3 linked regions of the Kluyveromyces lactis genome follow. The protein of the gene in region 3 interacts with the protein of the main gene of each other region in a biochemical or structural test. Links are inferred from orthologs where the notes say so. Each region holds a gene or a part of one and is shown on either strand. Other genes may lie near its edges.

Region 1 (7,564 bases), on a different chromosome or scaffold from region 3:
TTTTTCCGAGTTGTTGAAACGGTATTAAGGTCTAGACTTTCCTTTAAGGATTGTTTACAGGAAGTACTCGTGGAGCGTTTGAAGGGTCTGACAAAAGACTTTGGGTCTTTCTATAGGAAATATGAATCCGAGCTTCGAGCCCAGACTTGCCTTGACTCCTCTGAATTTTCAATTGTATTGAAAACAACGATATTAGGAGCTGGATTTGGTGATCAAGTTGAAAAGCACACCTTGGATTTGTTCTATACCTTCTTAATTTCTGAATTGCTACCTACGCTAAGGAGATCAATTATCTTGCTGAAGGCCTTAAAGCAATTTATGACAGGGGGGGATGATTTAGATTTTAATGAAAAAGATGTGCTGAGTGGTAGCCTTACTTCCGAAAGCAAAGAAAAACATTTCCATCTTTTGATAAGATTTTTGCTCCAGACTGATTTTTATGACTTGTTGATGAATTCGCATTCTCCTCTCTCCCCTGAAAGCTCCTTGGTTAATGCTCCACATGAGTACTGCAGTATCATCAAATTAACCGATTTAGCAACTCATTTGAATACTTATGTGACTAATAATAAAAACATTACTTTGCGTGAAGAGAATGATCAAAAAATTAGAAATACTGTCAACAGACTTGATTATAAAATTTGTTTGATATGTGGTGTCAAGATTCACGCACGTACAGATGGCCTTGAAATGCAAAAGCACATGGAAAGGTGTTCCCATGGTTCCAGTGGGTTGTTTTTAATTCCTAATATCAGTCAAGTGTGCCTCTATTTAAGTAGACCGGACTGTACCGTCAACATTTCGGCCCCTTATTTGAACTCACACGGTGAATCAGGAAGAAACGCTATCGAACGAGGTGATCTAACAGTATTAAATCATGCTAGATATGAACATTTAACTCGTCTTTGGATTTCAAATGGTATCCCCGGTTATATCAGCCGAGTAATGGGGGACGAATTCAGGGTTGCGATGGCAAATAACCGAACATTTACGAGGAACATGTTTTGGAGACCTGGTGCTGCTTTCAACGCTGGTGGGGAGAGCAGTGACGAGGACCTTATGAACGATGATGAGTTTGGGAATGATGATCGTCCAGATCTAAGGTTTAGACAGCCTGATGTTGAATTACGCATCAATGGTGGACCATTCGGTGGAGATATCCCTATAAGATTACCAACCGAAAGAGGTGACATACATGATTTTTTCGAGTTTGTTCAAAACATGAGAGGGGGTATGCAAGGTGATGGCGCAGACATTCCGACTACAGAAGATATCATTGAACAACTGCAAGGAAATGCAATGAATGGATTCTTCGGCCGTGCAGATAGAAATAGAGAGCACTTTGAACTGAATGATCAAAGTGACGGCAATGAAGATGGTGAGGACGAAGAGCACGAAAACAACGCTTCGGAAGATCAAGACACGGAATACAGTTCTGCAGAAGAAGGTTTTGATTTCAACGAGTTAAATAACGTAGAATGAATAACTTTTTGCTCGTCACACCTCAAAATTGCCTTAACCTTATGGCACCATTCACAACTTCAATGTACCAAATATATATAGAATAGCACGTTATTTCGTTTATGCACACATCGATATAAGATATTTTTACTAGTTTTGCATAAATCTGCAATATGTGGAGTGGACTGACCACAGGATACTATGCCGTCCAATATCTTACAGAATCTTTTATTGTAGCCTGACTCTGTCCCACCCTTTGATAATTCATGTTGAAAGTACTCCCAGTACTAGACTTTTGCACGTGATTACTTCTGGATATCATACCATACGACCCAATTATATCCGAGTACGGAACTTTTCTTCAAATTTTTGAAAAACTGGATAAATGTATAAAACGGAAAGCTAACTTCGACTGATGCCAAAGACAAGGTTTAATAAGAAAAAGTTCAGCTCAACAGAAACCAGAACTCCCGTTTTAGAAATGGTATGTTAATGATTTGATTAGTCATGGATAATACATATGATATGCGTCTTTTCTGGATCTGAAAACATTGATTTTGGCGTAGATGTCTTATTTGACTTCTGGAATTGAGAAACCGAAAACTGGGAACTGAAAAAACTGTTTGTAAACACGATGCAAATTACATTGAGCAGATGCTAATGTACAATTATACTATTATTAGTGAAATATACTTCCAAAGCTGAATGTCTGCATATCCCGTGGTGTTTCCGATGCCTGTTAAGGTTCCCTGGAGGTATGACCGATATCTCCATATAATAGAAAGGCAGTCTCAATACTACATTTATCTTCGAAGTACGACCATGGCTTATCGCATGTATATCAGTTACATCAAACAAGTGAAGAATGGACACCTTCTGGGCAAAATCCAGCGGCTGTTTTCCCAGATCATTGCGGATTGACTACATGAAATATTAGATCATATTACTAACAATTATTTTTCTGAACAACTTAATTATCACAGTCTTTCGCCTCTACTCTGTACAAAACTGTCTTTAAGAGAAACTCTGTTTTCGTTGGTACCGTGTTCGCCTCTGCCTTCGTTTTCCAAGCTGCCTTCGATACTGGTGTGACCTCTTGGTACGAAAACCACAACAAAGGTAAGTTATGGAAAGATATCAAGGGTGGTATCATGAACGGTGGTGAAGAAGATGAAGAAGACGATGAATAAGTTTCTTTTGACATTTGAATTATATCATTTCTCATCATTATACTTTTAAGTGTCTTTTCATTGATGCTTTTGTTCAATTATTTTACTTCTTAGAATATACCGTCACTTCAAAACATATTTTAAAAATGTGGATACGCTACTGTCGGGAAACATTTATCTATCCGGCACTCCATACGTCTACCAGGCCTAGGACATCAACTTTGGAATGATGTTCTCAGATTTTCATAACATTCATCCTTTTCGCTATCGGAATCTCACTCGATTCAAGAGATAAAAAGGGTAAAACATATATGACCATAAAGCGTGAATATCTGCGCATTGATGTTCATCTTATTTGTTGTTAGCTGTTTTTCCCTCTACTCCTATTTATTTTCAACTCACTTATTTGAAATCTCATCAATCAATCACATATGCGGCTCAATTGTATTTAAATACAATGTATTGTTTGTGCTGTTTCTGTGTATTAATCATGTCTATACGATAATAAAAAAGAATTACCCATTATTTGTGTACCAATACCGTACTTTTGTTTATATATATATACCTGAATTTATTCGACGGGTATGAAATAGCATTCATAATGTATGATTATACGTAAGACGCGAATATAACATTATACAAATCTATATACATGTAGCTTGTAATGAATCAGAGCATTAAATAACTTCTTTTATCTCAAAAGTTGCGCCCCTTAGATTTCACCGTTAACCGAAGCTTGCTGAATTCTGTTAATGTAAGCCTTTGAAATGGCATTCCAACTTCTCATATATTTAGCCAAACATTGGTCGACGCAGTTATCTTGAGAAGCAGCATATGGAGCATTCAGACATTTCTCAAAACAGTTCTCAGTGACTTTGTTAACTAACTCGGTAGCATTGGCGATGGCTAATTCTTGAGAGATTTGAGATTTAAGTTGGGTCTTGACATCGCTAGGACTGGATGTGGCTGGGGTACCAGATGATGAAGAGCTACCACCAAAGATCGAAGTTAAAGCCATATCTTAATGTGTTCTATGATAGATTATTGATCCGATGCAATGTTCAGAGGGGCCTGGATGATAGATTATAGCTGTTAATTGTAGATTGCCAATGGATATTTCAGTTTATGCTAAAGCTTCAAATCATTAGTTTTTTTTTTCAATATGAGGAAGAAACATTCCTTCACATCGAGCAGCAATGGAAGGGATAGATAACTATTGTTTCAGCCCGTTTCACAACCTCTCCTTTCCTGCGATTTACCGCGTTATTGGAAGATATGTTTGGAAGTTCCCCAGAGTGATTTACTTACTAATATGAACCACTGTCCAAGTACTTGTCACACGGAGCATATATGTAGTCGCATGATTATCATTACGTTACTGTACCCCAAACTTAGTACAACAGACATCAACAAATACTAGGCATCGGTGGTTTAGTGGTAAAATCCAACGTTGCCATCGTTGGGCCCCGGGTTCGATTCCCGGCCGATGCATTCTTTTTCATTATTCAATAATTTATTGAGCACTCAATTTTTTTATCAAGCGTTGCTACCTATTTCATAAACTGAATCCACTATAGCATTTCGATTCATTCAATGCAAATTCAATAGTATCGGTAAGGTTTCACTAACGGCTCTCGATGTGTTTCTTACTCGTTTTCTTTTATTGTACAGAAAACCCATCTTTACAATTCTCAGCATGAATCCAACATTTGAAAATCGAAAGTGCCAATTCAATTGAAATAAGTTAAAATGATGATGAGAAGTTACAAGTATATTTTGCGAAGAATAGTAGATAGATATCATTGAACAAGGTAGTTCAATAACTTGCCTTTGATAACAGACAAGCACAGACCAATTGGCAACGGCCAGTCATGATTCATGCAGTATTAATATGTATGTAAAGTGTTACCAAGCAATACCCTAGAAATCAAGCTTTACTAACATTTAATGATGATCCAAATGCAACAGTTAACAAGAAATGTCAACCAAGATTGATAAAATTTTATACACCTGTAGAGGTTGAAAAGCAAACGCTTTTATTACAGCAAGTATATGAACTTATATCTCAGCGTAACAGTCAGGTGCAGTCATCTTTCTTAGTAACTCCTCCATCTTTATTAATGGACTCAGGTGATAACGAAGATATTCAAATCATATACAAGAACTACGCCACGTTATACTTCACATTTATAGTTGATGAACAAGAATCAGAACTAGCAATCTTAGATTTGATTCAAACGTTTGTAGAGGCATTGGATAAATGTTTCGAAGAAGTGAATGAGCTAGACTTAATCTTCAATTGGCAAACATTGGAAAGTGTACTTGAAGAGATTATCCAAGGTGGATTGGTGATAGAGACCAATGTAAGGAAAATCGTAAGTGCTGTAGATGAATTGAATAACGCTAATGAAAGTGAAAATTCTTTCACCAAACTAGCAGGGAATCGAATCTCTGAGGCGTTCCAGGCGTTCAGTTATTCAAATTTCAGTGCTTGGGGGTCACATCAATGATAAATCAGAAAATAACCCCGCTATCTTAACGCCAATGTCATATTAATGTTGATAGGCCTTGCAGCATAATAGTTAATAGTGGATTATAATAATATCATATGAATAAATAAAGTCGAAACTCATGGAAAAATTATATACACTCCATTGATTTCGAAAACAACGATAAATAATATCTACAGGCGGTTAGTAAAGTAACTTTCAGATAACCGATTCATCAACGTGGATGGATTGGTTTCCGCCATAAAGTTTGAGGAAAAAATAATGCAAATTGAGCTCTAAACTCGGTTTCGAGAGAAATCCGATATCGAAACGTAGAATACCAGCATTTACCACAGACTCCACCAGCTCTTTTTGGAAACGATCATATCTGTTTGGTCCAGACTCTCCATTCTAATCTTATCCAATTCCTGTCTGATCCGTTCCAACTCTTCCTTCTGAACTTGATCTGCCTTCAATCTTTGGAACTGGTCCTTAGTGGCTTGAGTTCCATTTCTTTCCCATGGTGAATCGACCGTTCCTGTTTTCCAAATAGGATCTTTACTCTTCATGGTTTGCTGTACAACTTTCATTAGTTCTTGCTGCTCAGCTTGACGTAGATTCCTCTCTCTCTCATACTGTAGCCTCAACTCCGGTGATAATGCTTGAAGGAGTTGCTCATCGGTTGGTGTTGTATATTTGAATAAAAGCACACCAGTTAATATAATACTGCCTCCTGCAGCGAAAACTTTACCCCAGCGTAAAAAACCCGAAGACTCCATGCTAAAAAATAAATAAACGTGATAAATGCAACGCTTCACTGGTGTGATACGGCTCTTAACTGTCTCATCAAGAGTGTAAACTCAGCGTTGCTCCACATCTCTGTCTACTTTTAAAGGTTAGCTCCGTTATAATTACTTTTTCCAGAGGCTTTAGCCATAAGCTAATATGTGCGGGTAACAACTAACATATATATACAAATAATCACCGTTAGTGGTTTGAAGAAGCGCAACGTAGGACAGCTTTGTCGAGAGAACATGGATTAGTACAGCCCATGAAGGAGTCTGTAGGCGGATAGAACAAGCGAGATTATTACGGTAAAAAACTACAGGTGGTGTGGCCCAGGAGTTGCTTACTACACACATGTATATATTAAAATTGAATAAGTTAGTATCCTCAACATCTCTGTCAGATGCGTTCATCACATGTATAGATAAAAGCGAAGGCAAAAAAAAGTCATTATGAGAGAATGTAGGATCAAATAATCTGAAGCTACTTTTTTACTCTCAGAAGTCTATTATTATCATTAGTTTATATTTCTATCTTTGAATTTCTTTGGCGGATGGATTTCAGCAACCACATTAACCTATCAATTCTTTGAACAAGTAAGGAGTAAACACTTTTGCAGCTGTAAATAGGATAGCAAATGCCTCTAATAATGCCAGAGGGGATCCCAAAATGCCTCTTTCTTGGAAGTTAACATATATGGAGTACAATGCCACTGAGAAAAACACCTTGGTCAACAAGAACGGTTTTGGAAGAACACCAGCCAAGAAACTTACTGGCAATCTAATACAGTCTCCACCTCTTTCGAAATATTTGAAACAACCTCTTTGTAATACTTGTAAGTTTCTGTTGTCTGCAGCAAACAATGAGTATAAAGCGATGGATAGTACATTGATGACACTGTCATATTGCTTTCTTTCGAAATGGTATTCTAGTAATTCATCAAGGACAGTCTCTCTGTCTGAGAAATCTAAATCACCAACAGTCTTGATTAGTAGAGCAACGTCGTTCAAGCCAACAGCCATCCCACCACCAGTCAAAGGATGTCTCATATTCAAGGCATCTCCGATGACGCATAATCCGGTGACAGTATTTTGCTTTGCTGGTAGGTAAGAGTTTGGCATTGATCTGAATTTACCATCTTCAACCGCTTTATCAAACGATGGCAACAAAGATTTAGGTAAGTATGGTTTAACATCAGTAGTCAACCACGACTTTATATCTTTAGGTAGTCTTGCTGAATTGTATGCACATAGAATTCTTGTTTCTTCAGAGGAGATTTGATATACGAGCACGGGCATATGTGAAGTACCTAGAATAACATGACCATGGTTCTTCGATGGAATGTTTGCATGGAACAAAGACATACCGACGAAAGAGGATCCAACAGAGGGGATATGATCTGGGGAGAGCTCTTTTCTAAAGCGAGAAAAGATACCATCACATACAAAAGTCAAATGTGCTTTGAAGTCTTCTTTACCACGACCTGGGATTTCGACCTTAGCACCAACTACTTCGTTTTCTTTGCTTCTCAAGATCTCAATGACATTACCTTGGAGGCGGGTCACATTTGGTTCTTTGGCAACAATATCTCTTAAATTCTGTAAGAACTTACCGTGAACGAAACCAACACCTCTTTCCCTGTCGTCATCTTCGAAATCC
Region 2 (7,773 bases), on a different chromosome or scaffold from region 3:
TCTATGGAACTTGCAAGATGAGTTCTTAGCAAACGATTACTATTCACAGGAAGGTGTTATTCAGGATTTATGTGACGCAGTGAAAGGAATGCAAGATTCAATTGGACAATACAAGCGTAAACCCGAGTGGGGGCCAGCATTGCTTGAAATGCTTGAATCAGCATTACATAGAAAGTTGTAAATAACTTTAACGAACAATATTGACAGATACTCTTAAATTAACGAGTGTTGTTAATAGAGCTTGAGTCGAATGTGAATGCAGTGACGAAAAAATAAAAAAGCTTCTCCGCGACGGGGAATTGAACCCCGATCTCGCACGCGACAAGCGCGAATTCTAACCATTAAACTATCGCGGAATAGATATTTTTATGAAAGATTGAGAAGACATTCCCTCACAAGTCTGGAATACGAAACCATGTGCAAGAAGTTCATTTCCGAGACTAAATTATAAGGCTTTTTGGGTAACCAAGGTTCGAATCACAAAATACCATACGATTTAGAGATGTGCCCCAGTTTCCTGGGTAAAGGACGCTATTTATGCATCCAAAACCATTCGTGAAAATTCGTGATGATGTTTTTTAGCATTCAACAGAGGAAAATCCACAGAAACGAGGGAAACACACAGCAAGAAGCTGTGAATTTATCTTCAATTTGGGCATCGCTTTGAATCCATGCACCACTGAAAGAAAAACTGCGCACGGATCTTCGAAGATGCCACTTAAAATCTATATACTATGAGGACGGATTCCATTAGCTAAGTTAAAAGAACGACGACAGAAAATGCATTACTTCGCGTTAGGACACCTGTCACTAACAAAACAAAGAATTGACAACGTATTACATCTTGCTGTGGAATATATTAGCTCAATTTTTAATCCAATCCCCGATGGTGGTGGTACTAGCTATAGATAGTGTACATGATATATAGATTTCAGTACCTTCTTCACATAGTAAGTTGTTAAGATGCTTGATCGCCTTTGAAAACTTTTTTAAGACAAGGTCCAATACCAAAATGTTACCCGAATATATTATATTGGTAAATTATTCGTATAGGGCTGGTAACTGGGAATGGCACTCCACTAAAACGATGTTCCTCATTTAGTTACTACATGCCGATGCTACCGCGAAATCATGAAGAGGTCCAGTGAACTTCGTACTGTAGTAGTATCATAGAATCGTCTTGCATTGCCGTATTCTTCTTGATTATTGATTTAGCACCGAACTGAAAGTGTAGTGTCTGGGTGGAAAGTGTAGTGTCCGGGTATCCTTGAGGCTTCCAGATATCAATTAGCTATTTAAAAATGAAAGAAACGTCAAATCAGAGAGAAACAAACTGTTGCAGTGCATAGGGGTCCACTGCGTTTAAGGTAGTTATTCGAAAAGAATCATAGCGATACCAATTGACCAGTGTGTTTCCGCTAAAAGTTCTATAAGACTTAAGGATTTGAGCATACTTTGTTATAGATAACTTGCTGAACATAGAAATTAGAATAATATGGCTGGTCCACCTCCACCACCAGCACCTCCTCCGCCTATGTTTGGCGGAAATTCATCCAATGCTGGCTCCGCTGCAACTCCTGTCCCACCCCCAGCGGCTGTTCCAGGACGTGATGCCTTATTGAGTGATATTAGGAAAGGTGCAAAACTTAAGAAAGCACACACTGTGGATAAGAGTGCACCTGCGATTGGAGGATCAAGTTCGATGAGCCACTCTGTATCAGTATCGAGCTCAGCAGTCCCGCCTGTAGCACCATCGATCCCGACTCCAACTCAGCTTCCCGGTGTCCCTCAATTGGGAGATATACTTGCTGGTGGGATCCCTAAATTAAAACATGTTTCGGGTTCCTCTAAATCACCAGCTATTCCATCTGGAGCTCCTCCGCTTCCGGATAGCTCTTCAATCCCAAAAATTCCTTCTAATAGACCACAGCGTAAAAAGACTTTGAGAAGTGAGGGTGATTCGTCAGTGGCGGCTCCTCCTGCTCCTCCTCCAATGGCAGCACCGGCAATTCCAACAAGTCCGCCACCAGTACCCATGATGAACACACCACCGGTTCCGAAACATCCTCCAGCAAGACAACGCACAGAAGCACCTCCGGTTCAAGCACAACCTGCTCCGCCTGTAACGTTACCACCTGCACCTCCAGCTCCTCCTATAGCCGTGCCACCAGCTCCGGCACCTCCAGTACCTCTAGCACCTCCCACAATTAGCACCCCTCCTGCGGCCCCACCAGCACCTCCTACGCCTGCACCTCCTACATCTGCACCTCCAGCTCCAGCACCTCCAGCACCTCCCATAATCAGTACCCCTCCTGCAGCCCCACCTGCACCTCCAAGCATATCATTCCCAACGTCCACGCCGCAACCACCACCATCTGCACCGTCCCCAGCTGGAGGACTTCCATTCCTGGCGGAGATTCAACGAAAGAGAGATGACAGATTCGTAGTTGAAGGAACAGGACATGGTGCGTCGAATAATACAGCATCTTCCGCTCCAAAGGTACCGCTTCCCTCATCATCTGCTCCTCCGGCTCCTCCTTCGTTCAGTGCTCCTTCGGTTCCACCAACTCCAGCTCCTGCTGCTCCACCTTCAATTGCTGCTCCTCCGGCCCCACCGGCTCCTGCACCTCCTGCACCTCCTGCCCCTCCTGCCCCTCCGGCCCCACCTACTCCTTCCTTTAATGCACCTACGCTGCCTCAATCTACCCCAAGTTCTGAAGCACCATCTATTCCAGCCGGAGGATTACCATTTCTGGCATCAATACAAAGCAGAAGGGATGATTCTCACATTATCGAAAGTGAGAATAGTCATACACCAGTGGGTGCGCCAACGGCTCCTCCTTCCCCTCCTCCACAAGCCGCTTCATTTCCCTCTGCCAAAGCTCCACCACCTCCACCCGCAGCCTCAGAGGAATCTCTTCAACAAAATCAGCAACCTCAAGTGGAACGCACAAATAGTTCCTCATCAAAAGGTTTCTTCAAACACAGACTTTTTTCATCTGGTAATGAAGCCAGTCGACCATCTCAATCTACTAACCCTTACACAAATGCTGCTGAAATAGATGTCGGAGATTTCACAATAGAAGGAAGTCAAGATACGACCGGAATAAAGCTGAATAACAGTGGAATAACCATTGATGATTCAAAATTCGATTGGTCTAACAGAAACGATCTCCCCAAACCGAGACAATTCTTGGGCTTAAGAAAACTATATCCAAGTGGCAGAGGTTCAAGTGTTCCATTAGATTTTACTGTATTTACATGACTTTATAATGAGTAAGAACTATATAAGATATTAATGAAAGCATTCCTAGACGAGTGGAAGAGGAAGAAGTATAACACTTAATCCCACCCATCTACCCACCTTTTCTTCCACAAATCGCAGTTGAATTTCTCCTTTCCCAATTTCTCATTAACTTCATTATGTGCCGCACAAATCCATCTACCTAAGTCGTCTTTTGAATCAACCTTGGGTGCGTTCTCTTTTATAAATAGTTCAAAGTCCTTAGCACACCACCCGCATGGATAAACATGAGAGAATATGGTCATAAATTGTTTCATTTCTTGTTTCTGTGTGTCCGATGGCTTATTCGGATACTTGGCAGCTATCGTATGTAACAAAGTCCAAGAAGAACGGCCTAGCTCTTCGACATCAGCAGGCCCAGACTTAGAGTATGTCTTAGATCCAGGAATCAACAGTGGCTGGTCAGCTGAAGTATTTGAAATATCTGTCGCGGCCCCAGCTGCTAATTCACCGGAGCCAGGAGACTGAGTGGAATCCGCCACTGGTGAAGCAGAAGAATTGCCGCTTCCCCGAGCCTTCAAAGTGCCGGTCACAAATTGAAAGTCCAACAAAGTATTGCATGAACGACAGCTAGATTGATAGTACATAAACGTTAGTAAAAGTTTTCTGAAATTCGATTATTTCGTTTCTCGATATTAGGGTTGCAAAATACGAACGGTTTTCCATCTTCATCGTAGATGATTTTTCTTCCAGACAGTCCAAATTCTGGTGTTTTAGAAGTTTCAGTACGGCTTGACATGATTCATGCAGGTTGGTTGGAAAGATTTGGTCGTATGCTTGCATCTTTATGAATTCTATTCTCTAAATTTGTAAGCATTCGAGAGATGCATTGAAATCGAAATCTTTAAATTCAGATCAAATTTATGAAGCGATGAGATAGAAGATAACATTGGATGATAACAAAGAAAAATTTCAGTACATGTATGAGATTACAGCTATAACCCTTCTTGAAAATGTATGACTCTATTTACAAACTGAAGTGGATGATACCACAAATATACCAGGTATATTACTTACTTGATGAGATAAGAGTAAGTATATAACTATTCTTTCTTATGAATCAATCTAATGCAGCTCTAGAAAATGTTGCACCAGCGTCGATTTTGAGATTTTTCAAGAAGTCTTCATTTGTTAGGGGCCTCATTTTGAGGCGACTTAGATTGTCTGTCTTTCCAGTTTCTGTCAGCTTGCGTTTCTCTTTGATATATTCTCTTGCTGCAGTAAGTGCAGCATCTCTGCATAGTTCTTTTAAATCGGATCCTGACATCTGAGATGTGCATTGTACAATGTAATCCAAATCGAAATCGCGAGGGTCTGACTTTGTATCCTTCAAAAACACTTTTAGTATTTTATGACGTTGTTGTGCGTTAGGCAATGCAACAGGGAATCTTTTAGGTAATCTTCTTAGGAATGCAGAATCGATATCATTGATCCTATTCGTGGCTCCAAGTACCATAACCTTCCCATTGGAGGTAAGACCATCCCAAAGAGTCATAAACTCGGCTTTCAACATAGATGTCACCTCATGATCTGATGAAGCACGCTGTCTTAAGAAGGAGTCAATTTCATCGATGAAAATGATACATGGTTGAATCTTGTTAGCCAAAGAAAACATGGCATCAACGATCTTATTGGATTCACCGTACCATTTGTCCATTATAGAAGACATTCTGATAGATATAAAATTGGCTCCACTTTCGTGTGCTAGTGCTTTTGCTATCATAGTCTTACCACATCCTGGTGGTCCATACAAAAGAACACCCTTTGGCGCCTCCAATAATGCACTTTCGGAGAAAATTTCCGGACTTGTTAGAGGGTAAATGACACTTTCTGTAAGTTCCTCGATAACGTCTTCTAACCCACCAATATCTTCAAAAGAAACATCGATATCTTGAGGCGTAATGACAGAAGCAAGTACGCTACGCTCGTATGCATTCAAACTGACATCATCCAATTCGGGGTTGGCAGCACATAATCTTTGCCATACTAACGATTGTCTCTCCTTCTTTTCTTTCGAGTTACCTGATAAAGGACCTCCTTCAGCCTCTGTTAGTAGTCTATTCACCAAATAGTACACTGAAATTGCAGTTCCGAAGAGAACAGATAAATCGGTAATGGTCTTTAAGTCAATTCTTGGAGCCATTTTTCCTGTAATGTAGCAAGAATGATAAAATCAGTTTTTTCCCTGGTTAATGAATGGCTTCTTATCAGAGAGCTTCTGTATATCAAACGTATTCTCCAATGGATGTAATCGCTGTTCGGTCTCGCCGTGTGACGTTGCCACTTGTTACTTGCAAGTTCAATCACTGTATGTGTTCGATTGTGTTGATTCTTTAATTTCGCAAATAGTTCAAAAAGAAACCTTTAAAAAATGTGGAACTTGAAAAATTTAGACCATGCGATGAGCTTCATGTATGTTTATTGAACAAAACCGCTATCAGCTGGGTTGGATTGGGTTACCAAGGCTTCTTTGTTCCGAAATTTACCAGTTTGATTGAAGACTGCAGCTGATATTCTCGAAAAATCATCATATTTACTTATCCTAGCTCTGTTGCTATCATTGTCAAAATAGTCCAGGGCCAATTCGAAGAGATCGTAACTAATTATTTTACTCCGAGCTCTCTTACTAGATTAGAGCAAACGTCAATTGTTGGGACAACACATTCGAGCTATGAGTAAGAAACATGCTATCAGATTACCGGGAGTGTTGTTGGATGAGCTCAAGGGTCAAAATTATGATGAAGAGGATAAGAGATATCAGTTTCCTAACGTGAAGAAAGTCCAACGCAATGGTAAAAGAAAAGCTCCTTTGAGCAGAAAAGAACAGAGAAGACAAGAACGTGAGAGTAAGAAAATAAAGAGGTCTGGAAATAATATTCAGAAAACGTCTACTTCATTGAATGTTGAATCAGCAAAGAAAGATAGACAAAATGGTTCTACAGCCGTAAAATCATCTCTTAAGAGAGAAAAAGTAAAACTTGGGATTCAAGTCAAGCCAAAACAAGTCAGATTCTCCGAGTTCAATGAGGTGAAAGAGATTTCGTCTGATGATGAGTTATCAAGTGGTGATTTCGATGATTTCGATGAAGACGATCTGAATGAAGAAGAATGGGAACAACTACGTGAATTAGAAGACAGCGACGAAGAAGAAGAGGATGACGGCGGTGACGACGATGACGATGACGATGACGATTACGATGAAGAAGTAGAAGAAGAAGAAGAAGAACCTCTTACGGCTAGAGAAACTATGGCGAAACTCAAAGCTTTAAAGGAAAAAAAGCGACAAGTGAACCCATCTGGAAGTGAAATGGCAGTTGATGATGCCCAAAATTCATCTGAAGATGATGAAATACTTAATGAAGAATACTCAGCCGATGATATGGATGATGATGAAGAGTGCGACAGTGGTTTGGAAGAAATGAGTGTAGAAGAAACAATGGCAGCTTTGAAGGCAATGAAAGATAAAAAGTTACAAGCCAAGTCTTCCAAATCTACCACCACTGGTACTGTAGAGAAAGGCTCTAATAAGAATAACAAAGAGTCTGGAAAGAAAGAACAGTCTAAATCAAAGTCTGAGATTTACAGTCCATTAACACCAGAGGACAGAGCAGCGATTGAAAGAGATGAACTGGATATGAAATATTATGCTGGCAAGTTGGGCTTGAAAAACGGTAAAAAATTGCGTGCCACAGATGAATACGATGCTATTGGAGGTTTACTAGAGGGTCTTGAGTATTTTGAAGACTTTGGAGATGATGAAAGTGGAGAGGAAAATGTAGAAGATGATAGCAATGTCTCAGACGATGGTGAAGATGAACTAATATCGGAAGATGATGAAGATGAAGATGAACAAACGGAAGAGGGACAAATCGAAAACCCATTTTCGTCTGATGATGAGTTATCAAGTGGAGACTTTGATGAATTCGACGAAGACGACTTGGATGAAGATGAATGGCAACAACTTCATGAATTAGAGGGGAACGCTCCATCATCTACACGCACGAAGCAAAAGGAGAACATTTACGCCGCCCCAGTCATCGAAGAGAATAAATCTTACGTACCACCATCCTTGAGAAGAAAACAACTTGAGGAATCTGACTCGGAGACTAACAAGGAATTGAAAAGAAAAGTTAAATCAGCTCTGAATAAACTATCAGATTCAAACAGTGCTATAATTGTTACCTCCTTGAACGAGCTCTATGATAACTATGCAAGACAATACGTCAATGATGCGATTAACAATCAGATGATCGAGGTTGTTGCACAGAAGAATAAATTATTGGACACTTTTATCATGAATTATGCTGGTGTAGCTTTCAGTATATGGAAGCTAAGGGGAACTGAAGCCGGTGCTTCCTTTATTCAAGCATTGGTCCAGAAATTCTTAGAGATTTATAGTGAACAGATACAGTCGGCTAGAAATTCAAAATCAGACGAGCCAATAATGCTGTCTAAGGAAACGACTAATT
Region 3 (8,375 bases):
TGTCTTTGAAAGGTTCGTCGATCTTGAGAAAAATTATAAATGATACCTTGCAATTTTTGAACCACAGAAAGTAATGTTAACCATAACGATGTAAAAGATAATTTATACCTGTAAATATGTATACTTATGTATCAATAATAACACAATACCGTCAATTCGGTACATTATGTATGCTATATTCGAAACTATACATCGATTCCATATCGTCGATATAACCTGGCCAGATGTTTTCGGGAAGATAGTCACCATTTTCAAGTAAAAATTGCTGGCGTTGGTCCAAGTCAGCATCACTCAGTGCCTGTAGTTTCTCCTGACATTCCTTTAATATTTTCTCCATTTGTAACGCAGTGGCTTTCCGTCTGTCTCTTTCTCGTAGAAGGTTTTTATACCCTAATTTGAACTTATCGTAAAACTCACAGAGTTGTTGCACTTGTTCAATCTTTTTTATGCAAGATTCCTTATAAACGAATACTAAATTAGCAATCTTTTGGAAGATAGATAAGTATTCCTCACATTTTTCTAACTCTGTCACAATCTTGGAAGCCAGCAGATGGAATCCACCAATTTTGTCCATTATTTCACTTATTGTTTCATTGACTTTCTTTGAGAAAGCTTTCACTTCAAGTCCCGTTTCGAATACTAATTCCCTTATATTTTCTAACTGTGTATCGTCTTTCTTTACAATCTGGAAAAGTTCCTTCAAATCTGGTAGTGGAATCTGCTGTTCCTTCAATATCGTGCATTTGTCGAAATGATCAGTGATTGATCTCAAGAAATCGGCAAGTTCATTCTCAAATTCGTTCAATTCAGTGACATAATCACTTTCCAACAATTTGAATAGATTATTTTTGCTATCCCTGCTGAAATGTGAATCAAAGTAAGTTCTGAGTTTTTTCAACTTTACAGCCACTAGTTGGTTTTCTATTCGATCTTTTATCGATTTGTAGTGTTGTCGTATGTTTGTCACTTGTTGTTTTATAATAGGAATCTCATCGATTTTTTGTTGTAGTATGTCTACGTGATCCATGCATATGAAATCTGAAAGGCTACTGTGATCGTCAGTCAAGTCGTATTTTGTACCCTGCAAGATCTTCATCTTTGTTGTTATCTCGTTTTGCCAATAACTCACGTCATTGACTATCTCGACTAAAACCAGCTTTGACCATTCATTGTCAATCAACTCTGTAGAAATACATTTCTCGAGCATGATATTCTTGAAGAACTCAACCTGGTTCACCAAACAATTAAGTATAAATTTAAGTTTAAATCTGGACTTTTGAGAGCTGTCCATTTCAGTTCGCACTTTAGAGAGGATTTTTAATGATTCTTCACATTCGACTTGAGCTTCCACAAGCTGGTTTCTCGCCTTATTCCACAATTTATCTATCTCATCACTGGGTATAGTAGTTGCAGCATCACTCATTTCTTGTAGACGCAGTTCAGATCAACCGAAAGATCTTCATCTCTTCAACGTTTCCAATTTGAAACCCTTAAACGGTCAATTTCACTTCGAAGACTGAACTTCAAACCTTTAAATCTTTTCAAAGTATGAATAAATACCTATTAATCGGAGTAAAGATTGAAAGGAGTATCAGTCACTCCAAGTCAGCTATTACTACTCCAGTGATTCAGTATAGATGTCAGAACATATCAGTGACGATGATCAGTTCAAAAGAAGAAAGATCAGTATGACAATGAATAGTATGGTATTTACCGATCCATATGGATATAGCGATGACAATGAAGAACAAAAAGAAGAAGAAGACTATGAACCGGTACGACAAGCCAACTCCAATGATGGATTGAAAAGCGACCAGATGTTAAAGACCTATGGTATGGGTGCCAAGCTTTTATCAAAAATGGGTTACAAACAAGGTGAAGGTTTAGGACGAGATGGGAAAGGTATAGTGAACCCAATCGAAACAGTCACTCGTCCTAAAGGTGTCGGATTAGGGATGTTAAGTGCAGTACATGATAGAGATGACTCCAACTATAGTAATACTTCAGCATCATCAGATGAAAGTTCAAATAAAAAGAAAACAGTGGAGTTTAAGACTCGTCGTGCCACCCAGCTTGAGAAATTGATTCAAAATATAAGTCTCCTTGCGGAATTAAAAATAGAACTACCTGATACGGTGACAAGAACAATCAATGGTTCTGAATTACATGAAGAAGAGATTTCCTCTTTGAATGAAATTGCTAATAAGCTTCTGCAGCTTCATTCGGACATAGATAGAATACAAGTTGGCTTGGAAAAAGCTCAACTAGATGACGAGCGCAAAGTACACCAAGAGGAAAGGCTACAAAGTGTTTTAGAAAAAGTCAAGGAAAAACAACTTTCGCAACCAAGTCTTGAAGATCAGATTACTGAATGCCTAGAAATAAATGACGATGACATACTTGATAAGCTCTGTACCATGTTCTTGCTCAAAGAGCTTAATCGTGGAATTAATACGGCAGATATGCAGGTCGAAAAGTTGAACCATTTGAGGGCAGCAATAAGGTTTCTTTCATATAGAATGGAATCTGGATATATTTTGAACGAAACACAAAGCAGCATTTATAGGTTGGTGTATCAACCCTTATGTTATTGGTTAGATTCAAATACCGGATATTCGAGGATGCTACGTCAAATAACCGTTCAGTATTTACCTATTATTGACTTTATTAGCTGCAGGGAACACTTCCTTTCCCGCTACATTATGCCGGCTCTCGAAATACAACTTTCTCCTCAATTTCTGTCAGATGAATTCATGGTGACATACGGCGAGTTGCATCTCATTTTGGGAGAAAGGGATTTAAAGTCATTAAAAGCACTTATCCTGCTGGAGTTCGAGCAGTTTTTGAAAAATTGGGAACCTTCAATGACTGTTAACCCTCAAAACGTTATTCTCTTGAAGGAGGCAGTGGGTGACTCCAAGTTTTATGAATTAGTCAACAGGTATTGGCTTTCATCTTTCGCTGATTACTTCGATTCACACTTTCACCTGATTGACGAATTTACCGATGCAGAGAATGAAATTTACATTTCAGCTATTATTGATGTGTTGAAAGAATATAATGATTTCTTCGATTTGCCAACCAGGAATAAAGTATATAAGGTCATTAACAACTCGCTATTAAAGACCTTATTCCAATGGTTTGTGTTTAAGAGCAGCACCTTCCGTTATGAAGCTTCTTCATGGCTAAAATACATGATTAATAGAATTTACACTGCATCTTCATTAGATAATGTAGAAGAAGTGAAGAAACTTCTTGACTTTGTCGATCATCCGTCAACACTTTCGGACCATGACGAACGGCTTTCCTTGAAAAGTTTAATTGAAAGCACTGGCCAGTCGGAATCCAGGTTCAACGCTTTTAACAATACACCCATGACCAAAATTTCTACCACCTTTAAAACTGTTGTAGAAACTTTTTGTCATGATCATGGATTATCCTTCAGAAAAACTGATAATGATACTGCCTCAATTAATATATTTGGCAAAGAGAAGGTAGCTCCGGTATTCACTGTGAGTAAATATAACAATAAAAGAGTAAATGTAGTCCTTATGGGAGATATTTTATGGTTACAAAGGAGAAACAGAACAGAATCAAGATTTGAGCCAATTTTTCTCTACCAATTACTGGATCTAATTTGAAAACAGAATAAGCATGGCATATCATTAGGAAAATGTCTTTATGTAGTGTTTATACACGCTATCAGAACATTTCATTGGATTTTTGTTCGTTTTCACATTGCCATTATGTCGAATGGAATTGTAGAATGTAATAAGAATGTATGTTAATTTTTTTTTTATTGGACAAAGAAGGCGAGTTCGATGAACAGGTCAGTTCATTACGAGAGCCATGGGCTTTTATTTGAATTGGATATAACACAAACAAGGGAACCACGTAATTTTTTTAATTTCTTTAGCTTTAGTTTTATTATCTTTGTTCAAACGTCAGAATTCATGATGCTCATTGGCAAATTTAAAAAAGTATCTTTAACGGCAGCAGTTCAGGGTCGGGAAGATTCTATTTCTTTTCATCGTCAGTGTTCGTGACAGCGGCAGCTTCAGGAGTATCCTTTAGTTGAGGGTTTTCTTCCACATATTTTTCCAAGACAGGTTCGAAAACGGCATTTTCAGTTTGTACTTCAACAGTAGAGGTGGCAGTTGAAACCGGGGTAGTGCTCTTATCCTCGATTTTTGAAGCTTCTGCAGAAGCTTCTTCTTCATCCTTGATTTGTTCAGCATAATAGTCTGGGTATTTTCTGAAACAATTTTGCATAGTGGAGAACTTCTCAACACAGTTGATACCCTTTGGATCAGCTTCAGAGTAGACAAAACATGAAAAAGCGGACTTAAACTCTTCACCGCAAGGACCGTATGCCATACCACCTAAACAAGGACAATCCCAGTTGATTTCACCAGTTTCTGGGTTGTATGCAGTTTGTTGTTCGTTTTTTTTTTCACCTTGAACACCTGCAGCCGCAGCAGCCGCAGTAGCGGACTGTTCAGCAGTGCCACCGGAGATAGACCGAATTTCAGCTTGCTCTTCTGCTTCTGTTATGGTCTCAGCTTCAGCAGGAGATTTTTCATGCAAAACAACATCCGATTCACCTTCTGAACCGTCTTTTGAGGCGGTTTTTACGGCATCTGGGCTTGTTTGTTGAATCTCCTTTTTGTCAGCTTCATCTTCTAAAACAACACCCTTGGCAGTTTTTGAGTCATCGAAGCTCAAAGAGGGAGCTTTGGTATCCTCGGAAATGCCAGTAACAGGTTCATTGGTGGCTTCTCCACTGGCAGCTGGTTCGGTAGCTTGTTCATTGACGGATTCAGCAACTGGCTCAATGGCAGCTGGCTCATCTCCTGATAAGGTGGCTGCTAAGGCCTGGTGTGTCTCCTCGCTATAAGTAATCTCGTTCTCAGGAGTAGTAACTGGCTCAGCACCTTCCTCCTGAGCAGACACCGGAGATTCATCGGCATCCTTCGTAGGTTCAGAAATAGATTGTGATTGGCCCGCTGCAGGAGTCTCTTCAGCAGGCTTCTCAGCAGGAGCAGGCTTCCTCTCAATCAAAGTAGGACACCCATCAGCAACGTAGATGGCACCAAGAGTACTGAACCCAGCCAACAACAATGCTGGCTTGTTCATATGGCTCACTCCACCGGAAGGTGGATGAGCACTGTAAAACCTAATTTGTCTAGCGGATCTAAAAGCAACACGTCTAGTAGCTTGTAAAGAAACACGGAACATTGTCTTCAAAAAAATATGTATATGCCTATAATCAATTGACTCGTCAGCAACTTTCAAACGTTTTCTAAGTGTACTGTAAAAATACCAAACCTAACTAAAAGCAAATTTCTTTCCTCCCGTTGTGGGTATCAATCAGCTTCTCTTTTAAATGTTCCTTTGACAAATTGAAAATGCCTTTGTTAGCAAAAAAAAGAAAAATTCGAATATCAAACAAAATGGATATTGAAGCATTGTGATATGAGGATGGGAAATGATGATGTATTTTGAAGATAACACGGAGACGAGAAGGACAGTGTTATAGTACACGTATAGGGGATCTAAGAATAGTTAAGTTTGGGCAAAATAGTAGCTTTTTTTCTCATTTGACAAGTGGGAGAAAACAGGATACAGGATACAAGGATGAAGATATATTACATTGGAGTTTTAAGAAACAGCGATGATAAGACCCTTGAATTAAGTTCTGTGAAGGACTTATCACAATTTGGGTTCTTTGAAAGGAACAGTGTTGCACAGTTCATGTCCTTTTTCAGTGAGACTGTTGCTGGCAGGACAAGTGCTGGTCAAAGACAGAGTGTTGAAGAAGGTAACTATGTAGGTCACGTTTACGCAAGGCCTGAAGGAATTTGTGGTGTTTTGATTACGGATAAGGAGTACCCAGTAAGACCAGCTTATACGTTGTTGAACAAAGTATTGGATGAGTATTTGGTAGCGCACCCTCCTATCCAGTGGAAGGACGTGACGGAGAGTGACGATTCGCTCAAGTTGAAGGAGTTGGATATCTATATTGCCAAGTATCAGGACCCATCTCAAGCTGATGCAATAATGCGTGTACAGCAAGAATTAGACGAGACCAAGATCACGCTACACAAAACCATTGAAAACGTATTACAAAGAGGTGAGAAATTGGACAATTTGGTAGACAAGTCCGAATCACTATCTGCTGCATCGAGGATGTTCTATAAGCAAGCAAAGAAAACCAATTCGTGCTGTATAGTTATGTAGACGGATTTGAAATAGAGGCCAAAACATGGCCAGCCTGATCATATATAGCCCTTGCTACGAGTATTAAGCATAATAGTAATCAAAATAAAGTAATAGTAAGGTTTCACCGGCGTTTTGACCGCCACCTTTGATCAGCCTTTCGTTCCTTCCTGTCCACTAGGGTCTGATTTATCTATCATCATCTGGCTGAGTACGGGCAGCGGATCAATTTTGAAAGAAATTTTCTCCAAAAAAAACGACCCCGGAGAGGATTGAACTCTCGATCTTGCGATTAACAGTCGCACGCCTTAACCAGCTTGGCCACGGAGTCTACTTGCTGGACGCTGTCTTTTGTCCAAGATACCATAAGGTCCAAGACCGACCATTGCCTGCTCACCTGATATTACGTTATCTGCCTGTTAAATTCGGAGTACTTACTCACAGCGTTATCCCCCCCAAACACATAATATACAGGAGGTAAACAGCAGCTCCAAAAGTCACTCCGAATCTCGCTTTTCTCAAGCTCATCGTTAGCGTATCGATGGTATAGTTCGGGCCCTGTTTCCTGTTCTCCGACCCACCCTGTCTGCTTTCTCCCCACGCTACAATTTTTTTTTCAGTTCAAAATGCCGTTATGCATGCGCAAACCTCTCGAGACGTCCTTTTTACCGTTTTCCGTGTTCTATGTCAAGCTATGGAACACTTCACTGTTCTATCTACCGTCTGCTACGACTCCCTACGCTATTGCAGGTTTGTTGACCCATCTGACCTTAGATCTCCAACTGTTCGGCTGGCAACTGCGTAGTGAATTTTGCCTACATTGAGGGAATACAGGACCCATAGAGAACATCCAGAAAGCCGAATGAGAATGGGGTTCCCTCATTGCGCGTGGGTTGCGTGCAATTTTTATACCGATATAATTCCAAATATATACCAATTACAGTATGGTTGACGTCCAGTGCGTCAATGAAAATAGCCTTGGGGTACTGTTACTGATCAAGCGTCCTTGGTAATCCGAAGATCCGCTTGTTCCAACTCAATGTGACCCACGAATGTGGAAACTGTTTAGCGTTTTATCCCACACTAGAGAAAGAGGCATTCATTTCTGGAGTTTGCGAAGAGTTGGCCCGATATTTGCTGTTGACGAAAATGACTAGTTCGAGTTTAATGCAGATGTAATAGACAATAGATAACATATATATATATATATATATATATATAAGTAGAGCTATGTCGCAGTTGGGAATTGGTTATAGTGCGGTTGAGGTTAAATTTGTTTGGTATAATCTTTAATCAGAAAACAAAGCCCCTAGGTATCAACATCGTCATTACTATGAGATCAGCCGTAAGAGTTTTTGGTAAGAACCGTGTTAGTGGGTTGAGATTTGCTAGCACCAGTAGTAAATCTCCAATTCATAAGTCTAGTGCTACTCTGCGTTTTGGGAGATCAGCTAAGTCTGGCTATAGTGCGTTTTCGTTCGGTAAGAAAGTCATCACTGGTGGTGCCTTTCTTGTTGCCGGTTCGGTTGGTATTGCATTGATTTCTCAATTCAATGATAGCGTTGAAAATGGTGCCAAGGTCGATATGACGAAACCAAAGGTTTCTCCAACAGAAGTCGCAAAGCACTCTTCTCCCAAAGACTGTTGGGTGGTCATTGAGGGTTACGTATACAATTTGACTGATTTCATCAGCGCCCATCCTGGTGGTCCAGCTATCATTGAGAACAACGCAGGAAAAGATGTGACCAAGATCTTTGCTCCAATTCATGCTCCAGATGTCATCGAAAAATACATTGCTCCAGAGAACAGAATTGGTCCACTAGATGGTACAATGCCTGATGACTTGGTCTGTGCTGCATTGACCCCAGGTGAAACTCCCGAAGATGTGGCAAGAAAGGAACAATTGCGTCAATCTTTACCCGATATTGATTCCTTGGTTAACATCTATGATTTCGAATTCTTGGCATCCCAAATCTTGACTAAGCAAGCTTGGTCTTACTACTCTTCTGCCGCTGATGATGAAGTTACACATAGAGAAAACCACGCTGCATACCATCGTATATTCTTCAAGCCAAGAATCTTGGTTAACGTTAAGGAAGTTGACACTTCCACTACAATGTTAGGTGAAAAAGTCGGTGTTCCATTTTATGTGTCTG

What was found. The genes of interacting proteins can lie anywhere in the genome.
Region 1: the proteins of MIA40 (region 3) and TIM13 form a complex in vitro, tested with the Saccharomyces cerevisiae proteins (2 studies listed by BioGRID). The link is inferred for Kluyveromyces lactis from reciprocal best matches to the Saccharomyces cerevisiae genes MIA40 and TIM13.
Region 2: the proteins of MIA40 (region 3) and ERV1 form a complex in vitro, tested with the Saccharomyces cerevisiae proteins (9 studies listed by BioGRID, with this or other methods). The link is inferred for Kluyveromyces lactis from reciprocal best matches to the Saccharomyces cerevisiae genes MIA40 and ERV1.

The regions. Positions count from the first base shown.
Region 1 is NC_006042.1:1,404,374-1,411,937, reverse strand, and holds TIM13 (protein translocase subunit TIM13), read right to left. Parts: upstream 3,649-7,564; coding exon 3,343-3,648; downstream 1-3,342. Other genes in the region: E3 ubiquitin-protein ligase UBR1, read left to right, coding at 1-1,482; QCR9 (ubiquinol--cytochrome-c reductase subunit 9), read left to right, coding at 1,877-1,945, 2,445-2,651; APS3 (Aps3p), read left to right, coding at 4,502-4,523, 4,599-5,140; CBP4 (Cbp4p), read right to left, coding at 5,467-5,898; ERG1 (squalene monooxygenase), read right to left, coding at 6,478-7,564.
Region 2 is NC_006038.1:537,044-544,816, forward strand, and holds ERV1 (flavin-linked sulfhydryl oxidase), read right to left. Parts: upstream 4,044-7,773; coding exon 3,961-4,043; intron 3,875-3,960; coding exon 3,343-3,874; downstream 1-3,342. Other genes in the region: KLLA0_B05995g (heme-dependent oxidative N-demethylase family protein), read left to right, coding at 1-181; VRP1 (Vrp1p), read left to right, coding at 1,496-3,265; protein-degrading AAA family ATPase MSP1, read right to left, coding at 4,365-5,447; SGD1 (Sgd1p), read left to right, coding at 5,976-7,773. UniProt on the Saccharomyces cerevisiae protein: FAD-dependent sulfhydryl oxidase that catalyzes disulfide bond formation. Required for the import and folding of small cysteine-containing proteins in the mitochondrial intermembrane space (IMS).
Region 3 is NC_006040.1:226,429-234,803, reverse strand, and holds MIA40 (Mia40p), read right to left. Parts: upstream 5,239-8,375; coding exon 4,018-5,238; downstream 1-4,017. Other genes in the region: threonine--tRNA ligase MST1, read left to right, coding at 1-43; protein kinase regulatory subunit ATG17, read right to left, coding at 152-1,423; mRNA splicing protein SPP382, read left to right, coding at 1,638-3,641; palmitoyltransferase YKT6, read left to right, coding at 5,638-6,240; CYB2 (L-lactate dehydrogenase (cytochrome)), read left to right, coding at 7,553-8,375. UniProt on the Saccharomyces cerevisiae protein: Required for the import and folding of small cysteine-containing proteins (small Tim) in the mitochondrial intermembrane space (IMS). Forms a redox cycle with ERV1 that involves a disulfide relay system.